2 linked regions of the Struthio camelus genome follow. The protein of the gene in region 1 binds, or shares a complex with, the protein of each later gene. Links are inferred from orthologs where the notes say so. Each region holds a gene or a part of one and is shown on either strand. Other genes may lie near its edges.

Region 1 (10,296 bases):
GAGGCATTTCTCAGATAAAAACAGAACGACGGTCCCAGAGGAGCTCTCGGCATCCTCCTTGCAGCAGTGAAAAGCAGCTGCACTGGTGCCCCATACGGGCAACCCACGGCAAGCGGGGACTGTCCTCGCGGCGGCTGCGGGGGTCGGCTTGGGCTGCCCCGCTGGCAGGGGGCGAGCAAGGGGGGCAACGCCGCTTTCGCGGGGTGCTCGCCCTCCCGCTTCCCTCCAGCCTCATCCCATCTCGGGTTGTTCTCTGTCCCCAGGAGATGATCTGCGATCCTTTCCAGCTGCTGGAGCAACCAGGAGCCCCGGGCCCTGCCTGCCGCCCTGCCAGCGCCTGCGGCCCCCGCGGGTGCTGCTGAGCAGCCGAGTGATGCCCCCATGCTGGCGGCTGCCAGAGAGCCAAGGGGACACGGCCCCAGTGCTGTGTGGCTTTTGCTGGAGAGCAAATAAATGCCTGAGCTCGCAAGCTGCGTACTCATAGGGGTCTTCGCCTGCTGTGGTTTTGCATTTCGGCACAAACGGGCCGGGGACGGGTGGCGGTGAGGATGGGAAGCCGTCCCGCGGTGTCCCCTCGCTGCGGGGGCTCGCAGCAGCCACGGCCCCTTGCTGTGACTCGCAGGCAGGGCCGGTCTCTGTGGGAAATGCTGCCGCGGGTCCCCTCGCGTGGGACTTGCCTCTGCCTTGCCCAGCCTCCTGCCCCCGGAGGGTGCAAAGCTGGCCACCCCGGGGCGCCTGCCTCTGGCACGAGGGACGGGGACGGTTGCAGGTCCAGCTGTCAGATGCGACATTTCCCTGGCCCTGGGGAGGTTGGAGGGGCCAGTGCATCAGCCCTGCCCGTGGCTCTCTGGGGAGCAATCATCTGAGCTGAGCCCCAAATAATCTGTGCTGGCACCAGGGCTGGAGGGCAGCGAGTGGGGCTGGAGCTGAGCTGAGCGCGGCTGGGCCTGGATGGGCGCTGTCATGATGCATGCAGCACCGGGCTGTGTCCCCGGCTGTCATCCGCTGACGGTGCTGCGGAAAGCCTGGCTGCACCGACCAAAGCCTGCAGATCTGCCAGGGAGCAGCAAGGGGCAAGTCGGAGCTTGGCTCTGCCCTGGGGGCTGGGGAGGGGGGCCTGGCTCTGCCACAAACCTGCAGCAAGACTGCTCTGCTCGGTGGCTTGCTGCAGCCAGCGTGGAAGCAGCCCATGGCTGCTGGGGTACTTGCAGTGGCCTCATCGCGTGGCTCAGGGTCTGGCAGACTGGACAGGGGTTTGGCAGCAGCTGTGTGCATTTATGAAGGCCAAGGAGCAGGGCAGAGACATTTGCAGAAGGCAACTTAGCAGAGGCAGATGTGAAAGGAGCTGCACAGGGACTACCCTGTGGCCTGCACCCACTGTGCCTGGTCTAGCTGCAGCTTGAGGTCTTTGGGAGCCCACAGCCAAGAAGCAAATTTTTCTGAGAAGCAAAAGTCAGAGCATTAAGCAGCCACATTGCCCTTCCTTGTTCTGAACTCACTCTCCACACGCAGGGAGCCCTGAGCATCTGCAGGGCAAAGCCTACGCAAGGTGTAGCGGTCCTCACCTGCACAGCACAGGAGGTGTAATCAGCATCTCATATATAAAGCTGAAAATGAGCATCTCCCCGTGGCTGTTGGAGAAAAGGGCCAGTCACCTCTCGGGAGCTCAGCTAGGCCTGCTTTTCCATGGCAAACTCAAGGCAGAGCATGAGGCCCACAGGGCTGTCACCCTTATTTGCACTCAGGGCAGGAGACACCCCAGTTAGTGCCTGCAGCAGCTAGGCTTTGGCTGAGCTCGACATGCCTTCTATGAACGCTGTCTCGATTTCATTTTCTAAAGCTGAGCTTCTTAGCCAGAGGGTAATCCTGCTCCAGGAGGTGGGAATTTTTCTCCCTTTCCTTGTGCAGCACTGCTGCTGTTTATATTTTCCCCCGGACTCCATCTAGCGGAAAAGCCCTGAGCAGATTTTGCAGGGAAATCTGGAGGTCCCGGCTGGCCAGGTCCCAGAGAGGCTGAGGAGTAGAAGGCATCAAGGCTGCGATCAGAGGAGATGGGCTGAGCTCCTCTCGGCCCCGATGGGAGGCTCGCGAGATGCTCGGTGCGTGGGAAGGGAAAAGTGGGCAGCATCAGGAGCTGTCGGTGCAGGAGGTGCCAGGCCGCCAACCGGCCTTGCTGCCACAGTGCAGCTCAGCACCTTGCCTCCAGCTGCCAAGCAGCGGGCACGGCACGCTGAGGGGCGCCTGGACTGCCACAGGCACAAAGTAGCTTTCAGGACAGGGTTCCTACATGAAGAAACTGTGTGAGGAGCAGTGGTTGAGGAGAAAGATCGGGCAAAGCCCTTTTGCCCCTGTCCAGTGAGGGAGAAGGGGAGGAGGGGGCATCTCCCAACCCCGGAGAGCTAAACCAGCTCTGAGGCTGACAGAGTGCAGGTAAACACGACCCCCAGGGTTGTCTGAGCCCTTGGGTAAGCAGCTGAGATTAGAAACAAGGATTTGGAGACCCCTTCGAATCACAGACGGTGGGGCCAGATGGGGCCATGCCATCCACCTGCCACAGTCAAGGTCTTGCTGCGCCATCCCAGGCAGCTGCTCCCCCAACCCACTCTCCAGCCCCCTGCAGTGGCGTCTCCACCCTTCCTCACTCAGTGATTTTCCGTGTGCTGCTCTGGGTTTGACTGAAATCACTCTCTTTGCCGTTTAAACAGCATCTCGCATCCCCATCACACTGTGCAAGCGCACAAAGAGTTATGCTAGCAGTTTTTTTACAGATGATGATAAAAACTTCTACGATGACAAGGGACAGGGGAGCCCATGGTGCTATATAATAAAGAAGCATTTCACAGCACCCTCTGAAAGATGGGTCATTCACAAGTGCTTCCAGGTTAAAATACTGAAGCTAGTAAAGCTGAAGACAGCATCACGGTGGCCATCCAACCTGTCCCATCAACCTCCCTGTGAAGGGGCCTGAGCACTAAGGCGCGATGCTCGCTTGAGGGCACCAAGGCGCGACGCTCGCTTGGCGTGGTCCCTGTGGCCTCCTCCTTGTACAAAAGGAGTTAATCGCTGACCTAAAAATTAACAGTTGCCTGGTACTGGGGATCATGATCTGATTACGTTTGCTTTGCATAAACAGCTTATGGTGCCAATCAGTGATACGTATACTGAAACCTTCATGGGGGCCTGCTTCCCCAACCTGCAGGCCACTGTCTGCACAACTGAACAAGAGCGAAAGCTGAAATTTGGCTGTGTTAGCAAAGACAAAGGGATTTGTGTTAGCAAAGGGAATTGTTTGAAGTCTTGCTATGATGTATCCTCAAAACACAGAGTTCAACACATGCATAATTTTGCATCAGGCAAAAAAGGCTATCAAAGAAGATGCTAAAGAAGCAGTACAATGTAAAACAAAATCACTTTATAGAGAATCATGGCATGGGAAAAGATAAAGAGCAAATAATAAAAGATTCAGGTTCGAAAAGAAACACGGGCAAGTGCCAAGGATGCTCTAAGGTAGCTTGGCTGAGGCAGGTCCCAGCGGTAAGGAGGCATTTCCAGAACACCTGAATTGGAAAGCATAAGCGGTCAGGTAAAGACCGACTGCAGCACAGGGATGGGCAATTCAGACACTGGCATAACAGGCTGCAATGTTCAGCAGCTGCTCTTGTTCTGTATTGGAAACCAAGTTGGAGAATCCATCATTTTGGATAATGTAGATGGAAAAGAAAGTTTGCCATCTATCCCAAGGCCTTTTCTACCCAGAGAAGAAGCTTTTAGGTCACTGGTAAATGTGACTCCCAGGCAGGAGCCACACCACAACAAGGAGCACTCGCTGGGCCTCTCGTATTAACTCTTGACAAAACTTGGACCACTACAAAATATGAGGATTGTAAAAATAATTCCAAGATTTAAAAAGGATTTTCTAAGTGCCCCAGACTGCTTAACCTGACCTCCGCCATGAGCAAAATAGGGGAATGATTAATTCACTATTTAGGGATTAAACATATAAATAATGTCCATAAACATAGTTTCCTGGAAAGTCGCCTTGCCAACCTATCCTTCGGGTTTTGGAGGAGACTATGAGTCTGACGATTTGGTTTACAAAACATGTCCAAGGTGTTTTGGACTTAGAGCTATATAGTACCATAAGACATTCCTGGTTAGGGGGACGTGGACTTTCTGGGATGAGACACTAGCTAGTTCTATTCTACACACACTGATTTATGTGCTGCTAATGCAGCCAAGGCATTGTTTAATTTGCCCTGGTATATCCCGCTTTCACTATTACTTACAAAGTCTTTCATAAAGTCCCCAAACAGCCCGTCCTGGGAGGCTGGCGGCAATTAACTCTTGTTATCAAAGAGAGTCTTCCCAGCACGAATGAAAGAGCAGATGGGGCGGGGGGGGGGGGCTCCTACCTGCAAAATCCTTCATTAAAAAGGCATGAGTCCCTGCCGGAGCTTTTCAGCTTTCCTGAGGAAAGAGGCACCCACTGCCGGTCCAGCAGCGAGACCTCCTCTCTGACATGCATATGTAAAAAGGCCACAGCTAAATGCCACTGTATTTGCATAGCACTATTTTCTGCAAATTCTCAGCATTTTGGGGAGGAATGGGAAGAAGCAGCTGAGAGAACTTTTCCTAGCTCTTGGCTTTAGTTCTGAGCCTTAGAAGTCCTCACCTGGATGCAGAAGTGTGGCTGTCTCGTCACCCTCGCTTTGCTTGCACATGCACGACCTGCCCTTGGTGGGGTTTAGACCCCCTCAAGCCACGAAAAAGTCATGAAAGAGGTGATCCTGCAGCCCCATCCTGCACGAAACCCCCCAACAATTTGTCCGGACTACCGCCCCCTCCCAGCCTCTCCCTGCTGCCCTCCTGTGGCCTCGCACATGGGGAAGGTGGTCCAGGCGGCCTCGGTGACCAGCGTGTTTTTGTGGCTGCAGAGATGAGCCAAACTCCTTTCCCTTCCCAGCGTGAAGCGCTCGAGGATCGGTGTCCCTCCCCGCCGCCCGGCACGCGCCTGGGCCATCCGGCGTCGGGCCATGGGCAGGCAGGATGCCCTGATGGCAGGGCATGCCTGATGATACCGTGTTTTGATTTTTGCCTTGGCCGGACGTGCTGAGAAAGGGACGCCGGGGAAGAGGCAGCTGGGAAAGTCCGGGACAAGGAAAACCTCGCGGTCGAGGCCGCCGGAGGCGCGTGCCCCCCCGGCGCGTCTCGTTGTCCTGGGCGAGCCTCTCCTCGCCTCGTGCTTCAGTTGCCCGAGCGCTGGCGCGGAGAGGAGGCTATTTCACCTCCTCCAAAAGAAGAAGGGCCGCTGTGAAACCGAACTGGGGTGCCCCGGGTTTCTCGCGGCTGCCAGTCTGGGCTGCCGAGCTGCGTGTCCGGGCCGGGTCCCGTCGGTGGCTCGTGGACGCGGCGCGTTTGCTGCCCGTAAGGCGCTGGTCTCTCCCCTGAATTGGGGCCCATCAGCGCCTGGCACATGCAGGTACTAAGGTGCGCGGGGAGCACGGGGAGGCGCTGAGCCTCCCTGCCCGGGCTGCGGGAGCCGCTGCCGTGTTTGGTACCTGCCGCCCTCTGGCTTGGTCTCATTGGCGGCGGCCGGCGGTACCGGCGGCGAGCCCGGGCCCCGCTGGCACCGGGCGACGCGGCTGAGCGAGCGCCCGGCCGGCGGGGCCGCCACGGCGGGAGGCGCGGGGGGGGGGGGGCGGGCCCGGCGGGGCGGCTCGCTTTTCGGTAACGCCACAGAGGAGCTTCCGAAGCGCCGGGCCGGGCGGGGCCGCCAGGGGGCGCCGCGCCACCGCCGACCGGGCCGCGGCGGGATGCGGGCAGCGCGCGGGGGGCGGCGAGGCCTGGGCGGGGGCAGCGGCCCCCGGGTGGAGCCCCGGCCCGGCCCGGCCCGGCCCGGCCCGGCCCGCGGCGGCGCAGCGCCCCGGGCCGCCCCGCCGAGCGCGGCACGCGCCGGCCCCGGCTCGCCGGCAGCGCCTCTCCCTCATTGGTCGCGCCCCTCTGAGTCTCCGCCCCGCCGGCCGCCAGCCGCGCTGCTATTGGCCGGCGGCGCGCGGCTGGCCCCGCCCCCGCCCGCCTGGCGTACACACCGGAGTCACGCGCCCCCTGGGTTGGGGACGCAGCCGGGGCGGGCGGGGCGGGGCCGGCGCGGCATTGGCGGAGGGCTGAGCGCCTGGCCCCGCCCCCGCGGCGCCGCGCGGGCGCTGATTGGCGGCGCGCGCCGCCGGCCCCGCCTCCGCGAGGCGGGCGGGGGAGGGGCGGCGAGGGCAGGGGCTTGAGGCGGCGCTCGGCTCGGCCCGGCCCGGCAGTCGCCGCCTGTCGGGTCCCGCGGGCTAGCCGTGCCCGCCGCCTCGCCCGCCGCGCCTGCCCGCCCGCCACCGCCGCCGCCGGAGGAGCCGGGGCACGCCGCAGGCGCCGCGCGGCGATGCGGGGCCGCGGCGGCGCCGAGCCCTGACTAAAGATGGCCGCGCTGCCCGGTGGGAACATGGCGGGGGGCGGCCGGGGGGCGCGGGTGGTGCTGCTGCTGCTGCTCGGCGCCTGCCTGGGCCAACGGCCGCCGGCCTCCGCCGCCGCCTCGGCGGCGGAGGAGGAGACGGTGATCATCGGCCTGCGGCTGGAGGACACGGACGACGTCTCCTTCATGGAGGGGGGCGCGCTGCGGGTGAGCGAGCGGACGCGGGTGAAGCTGCGGGTCTACGGGCAGAACATCAACAACGAGACGTGGTCGCGCATCGCCTTCACGGAGCACGAGCGGCGGCGCGGCGGGCGGGCGGCGGCGGGGGCGGCGGCGGGGCGCGGCGGCGGGGGGCCGGGCGGCGGCGGCGCCCCGCAGCGCTGCGGCATCCGCACCTCGGACATCATCATCCTGCCGCACATCGTGCTCAACCGCCGCACCTCGGGCATCATCGAGATCGAGATCAAGCCCCTGCGCAAGACGGAGAAGAGCAAGTCCTACTACCTGTGCACCTCGGTGTCGGCCCCTGCCGCCGCCGCCCTGGGGCCCGGGGCCGCCGGCGGGCTGGCGGGAGCCGAGGGGCCGGCCGGACCCCCGCCCTGGGGTGAGACCACCTGGATCTACCACGACGGTGAGGACACCAAGATGATCGTGGGTGAGGAGAAGAAGTTCCTGCTGCCCTTCTGGCTGCAGGTGATCTTCATCTCGCTCCTGCTCTGCCTCTCGGGCATGTTCAGCGGCCTCAACCTGGGCCTCATGGCCCTGGACCCCATGGAACTGCGCATCGTGCAAAACTGTGGCACGGACAAAGAGAAGAACTACGCCAAGCGCATCGAGCCCGTGCGCCGCCAGGGCAACTACCTGCTCTGCTCCCTCTTGCTGGGCAACGTCCTGGTCAACACCACGCTTACCATCCTGCTGGACGACATTGCCGGCTCCGGGCTGGTGGCCGTGGTGGTCTCCACCATCGGTATCGTCATCTTCGGCGAGATCGTGCCGCAGGCCATTTGCTCTCGGCACGGCCTGGCCGTGGGCGCCAACACCATCTTCCTCACCAAGTTTTTCATGATGATGACCTTCCCGGCCTCCTACCCAGTCAGCAAGCTGCTGGACTGTGTCCTGGGCCAGGAGATCGGCACGGTCTATAACCGTGAGAAGTTGTTGGAGATGCTGCGGGTCACCGACCCTTATAATGACCTAGTCAAAGAGGAGCTCAACATTATCCAAGGAGCTCTGGAGCTGCGCACCAAGACAGTGGAGGATGTGATGACTCCACTCCGAGACTGCTTCATGATAGCTGCTGAGGCTGTGCTCGACTTCAACACTATGTCTGAGATCATGGAGAGCGGTTATACCCGCATCCCTGTTTTTGAGGGTGACCGCTCCAACATTGTGGACCTGCTCTTTGTTAAGGACCTGGCTTTCGTGGACCCTGATGACTGCACTCCGCTCAAGACCATCACCCGATTCTACAACCATCCGCTGCACTTTGTCTTCAATGACACCAAGCTTGATGCCATGCTGGAGGAGTTCAAGAAAGGTGGGACATGCCTGTCACAGGGGCGTAGGGGGGAGGTCGGGGTCAGTAGGTATCAGCATCCACCTTCGTACTATGAGCTGGCCTGGGGGATAAGAGGGCTCTCCAGGTACTCCTCTCCGTTTGCTGTTCCCAGAGGGGTTTGGGAAGGTGCACTCGGTACAGAGAGTGGCCTCTATTTAGGCACCTGTCACATCTGCCAGTTACCTGCCTCAGAAAGCTGGTGTGTGGCTGCTAGGTGATATGTGCCCCCTTCCTCTTTTTCCCACTGTTTTTGGGGGGGAGGTCTGTGGGCATAGTGCCAAGCAAGTTTCCCCCCTGCCCCATCCACCCAGTACAGTGGGAACTGCTGGTGTGAATCTGTGCTTGTTACTTGGCAGTGTCTTCTCTGTGCTCTTTCAGCTGGCCTGACAGTAAGGAGTGGGTGGGCTGCTCATGTAGCTCACTCATATCTTTCAGGCTTAGTGTGTACACACGTGCTGAGATAAACAAGGCTTTTAAACTCCATTCATAGGCTCAGCTGGGCGATTTCCATTCCCTGCTTGTGTTCCAACTGTTTTGATTGATGTTTTGATCTTGTAGCTTGTAAGTAGTTTCAGGGTGCTTTTCATGCATGAGCCTTAAAATATATTTGAACATGCTTGTTAGGGGTACGCTTCAGTGTTACAGACCTCTTCACCTAGGCTTCCCTCTGCCCCGATAATCGGAGACTGAGCTGCGTGAAGACATGATCCTTTTTACCTCTCGCTGGCATAGCATGCGTATTAGTTGCATCAGAACAGGACTGAAGCTTTCCGACCTCATCTTAATTGTAGGAGATACTGACCTGACAAGTGCATCTTAGTTCCTGTTATAAGCCTTTGTGAGAAAGGACAAGTTTTCTTTTAATCTATTCTTCCGTTCAAGCCAAGTAATAGCGCAGGCTGTTTATCCTGGGCAGGAAAGCACTCTCCAAGAAATAGCAAATGAAACTTCAGATGGATAGGATATTTTTGGACTGCTGTACTGGAAAACTGAAGGTAATGTGAGCGCCATAGAGTTGATCATACCCTGGGAGTTCTGATCAAAGTACTACTGAACAGTTCAGTCCTGGGAGATAACCTGACTGAAAAAGGAGATCTTTATAGCTGCGTTGACACCACAGCGAGGCTAATAAGGAATATTTGAGTTAACCTTTTATCAGCTGCAAAAGTTATCTCCAGAAGAACTTTGTAAGTTGCGCTTATGGTCCTTCTAGGTAATAAACTCTGCCATTTGAATGTCCGTGTACTGTTTGATCCACACGCTGAGCTCTGACGGCATGGCATTTGGTCTGTTTCTTCTTGGTTTAACACTATTTCTGTGATTTAAGGGATTATTCCATTGGTTTCATGATCTGTATTTCATCTTCACAGATAAAAGCAAACATGCTCCTACTTTTTACTGACTAGACTAGAACAGCAAGTGTTTTGTTTTAACCCTTTCTACCTTTGGGTAGAGAAGGGGAATTCTTATTCAGGTTCAGAGCTATTGAACGAGAGATGAGACAGCGCCTAATCTATGGTCTGTATGCTACAGAATCTGCGGCTCGGGTCTGAAACTAAGTTAATGTCACTCTAACTGTTGGCTACTTAAGGTAATTTTTGCCACGTATGCGGGCATAGCATTTTTCTTTCCCCTCTGCCCCTGCCTCCTCCTCGTTCTTCTGACTCGAGAAGATAACATGTCTGGGTAGTTTCTCTCTACCTAAGTTTGTAGTTTTCTTGTTTTGTTTGTAGCAATATGTCTGAAGGAATGGAAACTGTTGGATGCTTTATTTCCCCTATCTGAAGGAGATGAAACACAGCCCTGTGTGTTAACACAGGAGTCCTTTTTATTTAATTGCAGGGAGAACTAGGTATTCATTTTAATCCTGCATGTGTGGCTGAGTCAAATATTGCTTCTAACAATTTTTGAAGCTTGTGCTTAAAATGGGCTTCATAATTTCTTCTGGGTCGCTTGGAAGGTACAAACAGGAGATCACTTTCCCCGGTAGCTGGAGGATTTCCCTTGCTTGCACAAGAAACGTCCCATTAGCACAAGCCTAGGATAACTTCCTCATGTGTGTGTTCCCTCCTGAGGTCACTTTTCTTTCTGGAATAGTCTATGTGGTAGTGAATTAATTCAGGATAGTTTGGTCATACTTACGTATTACTCCAGAATAGCTGTGCTGGATGACTTGTATTGACAAGCCCCAATGGTAGGACCAGTTTTGTACTAACTAGTTTCTCTTTAAAAGTACAGATATGATGGAAATAAATGCCTTCCTTTGTGTCTGTTGAAGTGA
Region 2 (10,179 bases), on another chromosome or scaffold:
AAATGCATACTATTGCATGTAGAAGTTTCTTCAACAGAATATCACCAACTAATCGTTTGTACCATCAATTTGGGCAGTCCAAGAGATTTTTTTCCATTTCAAAGACAGTCTCCCTTGAAGAAAGCTAACACTGAAGGGTTTTGGAGAAACAAGCAGCAGCTTCTATTGGTAAAAGAAAGTCAACCAATATTTAAACTGTCAGACCCATCAAATTAAACTTGAAAAACAAAATTAAGGTTAATATGCCAAGAAAAAGCATGCTGTCCAATATGGGCCAAATTCATGTTAATTATGGTCGCTCCATTTACCATCATGTACGCTAGGAGAAGTTAGAGAATACTTCACTCGAGCAAGAGGAAGCCATCTTAAACTTTTTTTTTTTTTTTGCTCTTTTTTTAATTCATGCCATTCTCTCAGACAGGAATTTAAAGTATTTGTCCTCACTGACAAGTAGATTCAAACATGTTATTTCTGTGTTTGACACAGTCACTTGTATCTGGCAAAAGGCCACTTACCAAAAGAGATGTATTGCTGCCCAACATGCGGAAAGAAAAGAGGTGTAAGGTTATTACATGCTGTTGCTGTTTTGTTTCTAACGTCGTAGCATCTCAAAAAAGCATGAAAATGAAAGCGTTTGTTGACACAGTTACGTGACATTTCACTTCACCTTAGGAAGAAGGTCTGTGCGAGGTCTAATTGCCAAAATATTGACATCCAGAATCAACTATTTGGGCTCATCCTTAGTTACTGTAGTCATAGAATATAAAAGTAGAAAGCTACACTCATTTGTGAGCACTGCCAAATTGTAATGAAGTTAGAGTTCTTTGTTCTAACTTAATTTCTCCTACTATCCAAGTGACTTTCTCTCACTATCCAAAGCCTAATGGTAACTGCCAAGGCAGACAAGAAGGGGGAGGGTAAAGGGTACAAAATGTTGAGCCATTATTTATTACGGTTGAGCCCTACTGTGTAGGGGCACACCCTCATTAGATACCATTGAAAAGATTAATTTCCCACACATAAGATACGGGAATGTCTGTATGACAATATCAGCGGTGATAAAACTATGTATGTTTTAGGCCAGAGAAAGTGACCCGCAGCCTGAGGAAACATATATCACAAACAAGAGATTCTAAAGCCTACAACAAATTTGTTGTAGGCTAGTCTGTGAAGGAAGGATGTTCTTGTGGCTAAAGTATGCAGTTTAGGGGAAGAAGGGGAACGCATTATCACAAAACTTCCTGTATACTAACTGAATGCAGTTTCCACAGATGATGAAACTAAGGCCCTGTGGCCATCTCTCTAGTCCTCTTCCTCGCACCACGAAAAACCACGTGTGGACAAACAAACAAACGCTTAACAGACATCGGGGAAACAGGACATCACAGAAAGTATTCCCCTTGACTCATCTGAGGCATCCTCTTTTCAAAGTTTCTGAAAGCAAGGAGTCTCAAAATGACTTCACGTTGCTCTTAACTTCAACAGCGAGCTATATAATTCCCGTCACCTGACTCAAGACTTACTCCATTACACTTTAAGCAAGGACATAGAAAAATTAAGATATATATGCAGAGGCAGTCATTGCTGGTTTTTTATTAACTCTAATATAAAATGCTGACTGCCAAACAATGCACTGTGTTTGTGAAGAAAGATGTAAGGAGTTTTGGGTCCACCTTTAACACTTACTTGAAACAGAGTTTAATATACGTATTTTAAACAGAAGGTGACAATTTACTAGTAGTGCTGAATTCAGCAATAACCTGAACTCTCAAATCAAAGAACTTTTCAGGGTAAGTGGTCACTTTCAGCCAGCCTACACATTGGGATAGATCCAGAATTCTTACATGGCATATATTCAGTCAAAACAGGAAGGTTTCTGCAAGACAAAGGGAAGAATTTAGTCTTAGTACATGAGTTCCGTTAATTTACTGCCTTACTGACAAATTTAGCTTCACTAAGAGCAACAACAACCTTCTCTCCAGGCCTTTGCTGCATCAGCTATTCATTTTTCTTTTTCACTCTCACATTTCCTCCCATCTGCATGATTTCTGTACTGTCTCCTTGACATTTTTTTTGCAGAACAATTCTGTTCCTGTTCCTTTAAGACTTCATTTCAAAACCATTTTCCTTTCTATCAATGGAACAACAAGGGCTGACATTAAAGTGTCATCTTCAGGTTTTTACGTTTGACAGTCTAATGAGATTAAGAGGAGACGGGGTTCATACTTCTGAGTCACCGTTTTGGACTCTATGCAGATGCAGGTAGACATATTGGAAAGTTGTCTCCAGCAGCAGTAAGAAACAGAAGAATCACACAACGCCTATGCCACAAAGGCTGCATATTTTTTAAGCTTGTGATATCTGCAATATATTTAGCTGACTACCTGACAGCCACTGAGGCCTGTGCACAACTGTCACCAATCGAGCTTCTACCGTGACCATATGATAGTTACCTGATTTTGACAACTTCTTGTCTTTCTTGCTTCCCTACTTTTGGGAGTAGCTCCACCACCAATAAACATCATACTTCTTGTGTGCGCAAACTACATACTGTGTGCTAATATTAGAGAAGTTAGCCAATACAGACAGAGGGCAAGAACAAAGCAAAACACGTCAGAAAAGCAAAAATTTCTCATGTTAAACTATAATCCCTTTTCAGAAGAAAACGCTGCTCTTGAAATGACAGAAGACAAGGCCTTAAAAGCAGTTTCAGTCAGACTAAAATAGTCGGTTGGATTTATCAGCTTCTAAGGGTCAAAGGCAGACTCCTACAAAAAACATCCACTTTAACGTCTATTTAAACGACTCCCCTGCACAGTTTTCTTCCCACCAAAGAACCGTCTAAAAATCCAGTCTGAGGACAGACTACGTGCACTAGCACGGCCATGCCCGCCCCCCCCCCCAACTTCCCTGCACAAAGCTCATTCCGAAGAAGATTCGCGTAGTAAGTTACAGTTGCTTTTGATTCCCTGTGCGGATATATCGCAGACAAAGAAAGCCGTTTTGCCGTTTTCGCCCTCTCTTTGGTGGTGGTTTCCCACGTGCCTCGGCGGCGGCGGCGAGGGGGAGAAGAGGAGGAGGAGGGAGGGAGGCCGAGGCGAGCCCGCGCCACAGGCGCAGCCAGCGCCATGCCGCCAGTCGTGACTTCCCCGTGCCGCTCCCCCGCCCCTCCGCGATGATTCAGTCTCCGGCCCTCACGCTCCTTTGCGACGCCACCTGCCTGGCGGACGCCCACGGACAAGCCTCGGCTTGCCCCGCGCCCCAGCCGCTCGCCCCGCGCCACATGGCGCGGCCCGGCCGCCGAGCGCCACGTTACCGCGGGGCGCCGCACCGCGCCGCCCGCCTCCCCCGGGGACGCTGCTCTCACCCCGACGCGGCCCTCACCCTCACCCTCCCCGCCTGGGGCCCGGGCGCCGCCAGCGGCCGGGCCGGCGCCCCGGCTGCGGCGATCACGGGTTTGAATCACGCTTCGATCAGGCGCCTGACACGGAGCCATCTTGTCACTCGGAGCCGCCGCCCGGCCCCGGCTCCCCCCGACAGGGGGCTCCCGGCCCCCGCCGCCCGCCCCACCGCCGCCGCTGCCCTTGCTGAGGCGGCGGTTTGCGCCAGCGCGGCCCGAGAGCCGCCGCCAGACAGGCACCGACGGGCCGGCGGGGGGGGGGAACCAGGGCCGGCGGGCGGGGCCGGCGGCGGCCACGCTCACAAAGCGGCTTTGTGCGCGGCCCGGGCCGCTCGGCGGCGAGGGAGCCGCGGGGAGGTCACCCCCTCCTCCCGGCGAGCTAGTGCGAGTAGCAGGGGCGAGAAGGACACGCGAAAGGAGGCGAGGGAAGCCGAGGGCCGAGGCAGGGCGGGCGGAAGGTAGAGCCGCGCCGCCGCCGCGTTGGCCCCGCTGCCGTGCGGCCCGCCGGGGAGGAGCCGCAGCCCGGCGCAGCAAGAAGCCGCCCGGAGCCGGCGTGGCCCGGGCGACAGAACAAAGAGACAACATGGAGGAGACCGGGGTGGAGTGGGGGGGGGGGGGAAGAGAGGCGAGGGAACCGGAGCACGAGGGCAACCAGCGCGGCGCTCGCCGGCCGGAGGGGCCGCGCAGGGGGAGGCGGGGGCCCGCGGCGGCGGCACTCACAGGAATATGGTTACTCATTGAAGACTGTAGCCTGATCATACAGCCGGGGTGCGGGCGCCACCGCCGGGGGCAGGAGAAGCAGAACCAGGAGGATGTGGAGGCGCTGGAGGCCGCGGAGCTGCCGGAGGGGGTACGGCGGCGGCGCGAGGATGGACCATACAGCTGCAGCGGCGGCGGCGGCAGCGGACGGGCAGCTTCTGCGGGGCTGGCGCGGCGCTAACGCGGACGAGGCTGCACAAGGAGGGACCCTCGGCGCCGCCTCCTGCACAAGCGCCGCCGCACCCGCCCCTCGCTCACGCACCGCCGTGACGAGCGTCGAGCCCCGCCAATCAGAGGCGCCGAGAGAGCGTCCGGGGCGGGGCCGAGGCCGCTTCGGGGCGTGGTCTCAGCAGGCTGGGCGGGGGCGGGAGCGGGAGGGTGTCAAGAGGCGGAGGCAGCCGGCGAGAACCGGTTAGTGAATGAAGCGAGTGGCGGCGGGGCCGGGGGCTCTGCGAGGGAAGGGAGGGCGGGGCGTGGCGCGGCGCGGCGCGGCGCTGAGGGGGGGGGGCGGGGACGGTGTGGGCCGAGCAGACGGGGGGGTCGCGGGATCCGGCCAGAGGCCACCCGGCGCGGCAGCTCCGCCTCTCGCTGGCGGCCGCCGGCTGCCTCCGCGGGAAACGCCGCCGGCCCAGGCGCGGCCTCCGGCTCCCTTGGGGCAGGTTGTTCTAGACTCTTCCGCGCGCGCCCGGCGCTCAGTGGCCGGTCTGGCGCGTGCCGGGTGCGGCCGGCTCGTCCCGCCTCGGGCCCCGGCCCGGAGGGCAAGGGCGGGCCTGCCGGTGAGCGGGGCCGCGAGAAGGCGGCACGGGCAGCGCAGGGAGAGACTGTGCGAGAAGGTGTGGTGAGGGCGGGATTGCCTGAAAGCCCGCTTTCCTGTAACACTAGCGGAGGGGGTGGGGTTATTCCAGTCCTCGCACGTCAGCGTTAGGGTCCCAAGTTGACCGTTTGTGGAATACTCACAGATCTGCGTGTGTTTTAATCTCCGAGCTCCTTTATTCATGGAGGCCGAAATCTCTTCTGCAGCGTTAATGCTAATAGGAAGCTCTTGGCATTTTCTGCCTGCAGACCATTCTGTACTTTAAAATCATAATTTCTGTTTTAATAGATGGGAAATCTGCCCAGCAGGCCAGAAGTAGTGAAGGAAACAGAATAAGGACTTTCTCAGCCCTGTGGTCTCACTCCTAGAAAACAGTCTCTCAGGAGGCAGGCAGGCAGGCGTTACTGAAAGGCAGAGGTATAGATGAAATCTGACTAGGAAACCCTTAGAGCACCAGTCGTGTTCAACTGGTAGAGGAATGGGAGTCAATCCCCAGTTGAACACCGTGACCTGGGAGAAACCTTAATCTGGGTCAGCGCTATCTATAAAATGTTGCACTATTTTTAGCTTTGGTTAGTCTGATACCGTTCTAGTTTATTTAACTAGTTCTAGTTTATTTAGGCCTTTCTTCTGTTTAACATTGTTAGTATACAGATTATAAATCTCAGAGTCTGCAGAAGTTGTTTTTGATCGAAGAAAATGATTCAGTTGTAAGTCTCAGCAGTTTGTGTTGGCTTGTACGAGGGCATAGCTGGTTTGCGTTTTTGCCTAAATTTTCTCTCTTTTTTTTGTTTTTTGTATAACCTCCAGAAATCATGGTTCGTACAGAAGAGATTTTCTTGTTATCAAGTATGCAAGACGTGTCATTCAGAGTCTGTCTGTATTTGCTCCTGCAGGCACTTGTGTTTTCACTTCCCCTGGGTTCAGACTGGATTGGCATAGGCTAATTTCTGTCTGGGAGCCATGCTTCTACTAAGCTAAAATGCTGTTTGTCTCTTGGCTATAAATACACCTGAAGTGCTTTTGCATTTACTTACATTTGCATTTTGTATTTACTGGTGGACTGAGGGCACCCATCTGGTGAACTTGTAGCTACTTGCACTCCCCTGTGTAAAACTTCCTAAAAAATGTTCTTCAAAGTCCTATAAAATAATAAAATGATCCCAAAATTACTGGCTGCTTAAAGTATTGCTTATTTATTGGTGGGTGCAATGCTGGGAAGATTCCTGGAGAGAAAGTGGGCACAATTTATTAAACCGACTCTTTATCTGCATAGTCAAATGAATAGTTATGACAAGGAAACTAGTGAACTGGTGAAACAGAGTGGATTGAGAAGTCAGAAAGGAACAGAAAAAAAAAAGGGATGACTCCTGAAGGGCTTCAAAGATGAGGACAAGAAATTCCTGTAAAGAAAAACTGGTGCGGAGAATTCAGTAGAGACTGATACGATCAAGATGGGAGGCAAAGAAAGCAGTCAGTTGTTAAAGAAGATTAATATAACTTTTAATGTAAGAGGTCATAGGAGGACAAAGTTTGAATATTTTTTGGAAGCACTCGAGTCAAAAATAAAATCTGGACATAGCCTGAATTGTCAGTAGTTCCAAGTGTTGATCTAGTTGACTCTGCATGATCAATATTTTCTGAAAGTTGTATAAGAAGTTGTGTACTAAACCAGTCAGTCTACAGAATGCTGAAGTTGCAAAAATCAAAATGGTGATACTTTATGCCAGAATTACTTCCTTTTGCTTTATAAAAGCTGCTGCTTCATAATCTCTGATAATTTTATGTCATCTCGTTCTCAGAAATCCAATACTGATAAACATTCCAAATTCACTTTCTTTATATAACAGAGTATATACTCTATATACGTTGCAAGACACTTTTGTCAAGATGAGGAATCCTGATCTATAATTAATCTCTCTGTGTAAGGAAGCCAGTTCTTTCTTCTGATCATCTTTTCATCTTTGCCAACCTTGTCTGTACTTAAAAAAAAGAAAAAGAAAAGAAAAAAGAAAAAGTTATATTCCTATTTTTTTAAATAGGCCAGAAAAGAAATAGTTTCCAATGTGCAAATCACACAGTGTCCATGTATTAATTTGGAATGATTTGCATTACTTTACCTAGCACATGTGTTCTGGTTTGAGAATGCTGCTGCTATGGGATTTGTGAAAATTACATATTTCAAGCATTTTAAAGTTTATGTATCACCTAATATTACTCATAGACTAAGTAATATATTACTCCAAGACATAAGTAAAAATACTTATTTTTTAATGTGTTTGTCTTTTGCAGATAGTTACTTTTCTAGATAGAAAGCAATTGTCCTTGCGATTTCATATATCTTCATATCCTAACAGGAGGGGAAAAAAGGAAAATATGATTGCTTATTGGGAAGAGAAATCAGGAGCAATTGAAACTGCTTGTCCTTTCTTTGCATCAGTATTAGTTGCATATGGTTTAAAGTTTGCCTGAACTTTTACCTGAACTAATCCTAGGTTGAATTTGAATGAAATTGGAGGCATTTTGTATAGACATTGATGTGCCTATTACTAGGTTATCTGTATGAAATGAATTTATACACTTCAGGGTCTTTGACTTGCGGATATTAACTGTAACTTCTTCTGATGAAATTCCAGAAGACTGTATCTATGTTAATGTTACGCCAATGTTTAAAAGAGTTAAGTGGGTTGACTTTGAACTGGTTAGACTGGCATCTAATAGAAAACTGATATGTGACTAAGCTAATTACAATAAAAAAAGAATTAAAGGATAAGAACATAATTAATGCAAATCAATATAGTTCTAGGGAAAATAGCTACTGTTAAACAAAGCTGACTTAATGCTTTGATAAGATTACAAGAATGGTATAAACGTAACTGCGTAACTGTAACGCTTTTGTAAGTATTTTATTTGGTACCAAGTGACATTACGCTCCAGAAGAAATAGTGTTATGCTGTCAAAATAGCTCTAGAGCACGCATTCAGTGGGGGCAGAACTTTCTGACTGAACGATCTCAGAGTAATGTTGGTAAGTGATCCTTGCTGAACGACACTGTTCTGCAGGAATCAACATTCGTGCTTTCAGACATTTTTGTCAAAGGAGTATAATCAAAGATCACTGAAAATAAAATTTGTTACTGATACAAAGACTGATGGAATAGCAAGTAACAATAACAACGAAGTAGTTATACAGAGAAATCTAGCTTGTTTAATAACTTGTGTTTACTCAAAAATGTGTTTAAGTGCAGCCCCAAGCAGGAAATACAAAGCTAGAATTATAGGTTTTTAAAGAATGCTTCTGTTACTTTGAAGAAAGTCCAGGGATCGTAATGGACAAGTAAGTAAATATGCGCTCCCAGGACACTGGTATAACAGTAAAAATGCTAATGTGATCCTTAGGTATATAACTGGAAATAATGAGAAGGAGTAGAGAGATTTTATTTTTGAACAGCATTGATACCGAATATTGAAATAATATATGCAGTTCTGTTATCCATAGACCTCTTAGATTGCCTTATTTTCTGATATAAAAAACCAATGTGTGTGGAGCCTGTGTTGTGGCATTTTGCCATGTACCCTATTACCAGCCCCTTCCTTTACCCCTATCCCTACAACCCTTATCCATTTTTCTCCTCCCCCCTCAGCTTCGATTCAGTGGCATGGGCTCCCTCAGATTGCGTGTCCTGGATACCCGGCATTCAGGCTAATGGGGTGGAGAAGACTGCAGGAGAACGTGAGCAGAAGTCGGTTGTGTGTGTAGTACTTGTGTTTGAGATGTGACAGATCCACAGCCATCTTTTAAAAAGAGATTGGCTTATTGGTTAGAATGCAGAGTTGCGAAAAATATTTGAAGACTGGAGAAAACGCAGAAAATGGCCACGTTATGAGTTAGAGCCCTCTACTGCTTGTCTGTAGCACCTGAGGAACATTATTCTAGTGGAAGACTGATGGAACTGTGCTGTATCTTGCCCTCTTCTTTCCTCTCTTTGTGGAGGTAGTGTTGGCTCACGCTAATGCCTCAGATCTGCTAGCTTACTGCTAGAAGGGAGCACCTTTCTGTTGTGCAAATTTCTCTGCTGATGTATTACAGATATATTTGATGTATTTGTGTTTTTGAGTGGAATAAAGGCGTTGGAGCATGATGCAGAATTTAGCCTGTTGTAGAAAGTAAGCACGTTTTTTCCCTGTGTTACTTTAGCACGTGATCAAAACTGAAAGACTTTACAATTAATTCTTCATATTTGTTTGATTTCATTGTCTATACATGTTTATAAAAATTTTGTGAATTGATTGTCAGGATTTTTAGCATAGATCTCTTGGCTTATTAATGTCGATGGGCTCTTCATAGATAAAGTGATACATGCTAAAGGATTCCAGTGTAGGATCATGGTCTTTTCTACATCTTGTCCATATGCTTTAATGAGAATAAAGATAAGATAATAAGAGCTATTTTCCATTTTCAGCTCCTAAAACTGCTCTTACTATGAGAATGGAAGGCCATTTCAATTTCTTTGTGGAACTCGGGTAATATGCTTCATTTGTGATCTGGTTAGAGGGAGTGCAAAAGTACTATTGATACTTCATAAATACAAAGAAACATTCTGCAGCTCCTTTTCAACTATTTATTTGGAAAATTCATTGAACTTTCAGTCCTCGTGTAGCTTCTATTTATTCATTGAAATTACTGTCTCTGGAATTGAGTTTATGTTCAGCACGTGTTAAAACATTGGAGAGCTCCTAAAGAAGGACTTTTCGTGACTGAAGAAGTAATGCTATTTCACGGCATGATCTCCTAAAACCAGATGTGCATGCTGTACAGGAGTTGTCAACAGCCAATCAACAGATTTAACGTTCATGGTTGGCACTTAGCCAACAGATAATCCAGCTAGATGGTGATTTAAGCGATATTGTAGAAGTGATCGTAACGATGAACATTCTCAAAAAATTTTCTAAGATATTGCACGCAAGTAGGTTTTCTGTTGGTATGCACTTTTAAAATGTATGTAATGTATGTTCCTATTGAAGCAGGTGCACCTTATACATGGTCAAAGCCGGGAACTGCTGATTTTCACTGCACCCTTTTCTAGAACGTTGCAGTGGCATGATATTTTGGATATATCACAGTGTTTATTTCTGTTCTAGCTTACAGTCTGGGAATATTTTCCGAGGACTGATTTGGGGGTGAATCAGTGTCTGACCATAGGGAC

The links.
Region 2: the proteins of CNNM2 (region 1) and PTP4A1 are in contact, whole or in part, in a crystal structure (PDB 5MMZ), measured with the Mus musculus proteins. The link is inferred for Struthio camelus from reciprocal best matches to the Homo sapiens genes CNNM2 and PTP4A1. Residues at the interface, in NP_291047.2 of Mus musculus: Phe526, Asp528, Val551, Asn553, Glu556, Gly557, Asp558, Pro559, Phe560, Tyr561; in NP_035330.1 of Mus musculus: Asp72, Gly73, Ala74, Gly107, Leu108, Gly109, Arg110, Arg137, Arg138, Gly139, Ala140, Phe141, Asn142, Lys144, Gln145.

Annotation. Positions count from the first base shown.
Region 1 is NC_090948.1:15,441,885-15,452,180, reverse strand, and holds the start of CNNM2 (metal transporter CNNM2), read left to right. Parts: upstream 1-6,460; coding exon 6,461-7,994; intron 7,995-10,296. Other genes in the region: AS3MT (arsenite methyltransferase), read left to right, coding at 264-362.
Region 2 is NC_090944.1:37,479,390-37,489,568, reverse strand, and holds the start of PTP4A1 (protein tyrosine phosphatase type IVA 1), read right to left. Parts: upstream 4,361-10,179; 5' UTR 4,121-4,360; intron 1-4,120. UniProt on the Homo sapiens protein: Protein tyrosine phosphatase which stimulates progression from G1 into S phase during mitosis. May play a role in the development and maintenance of differentiating epithelial tissues.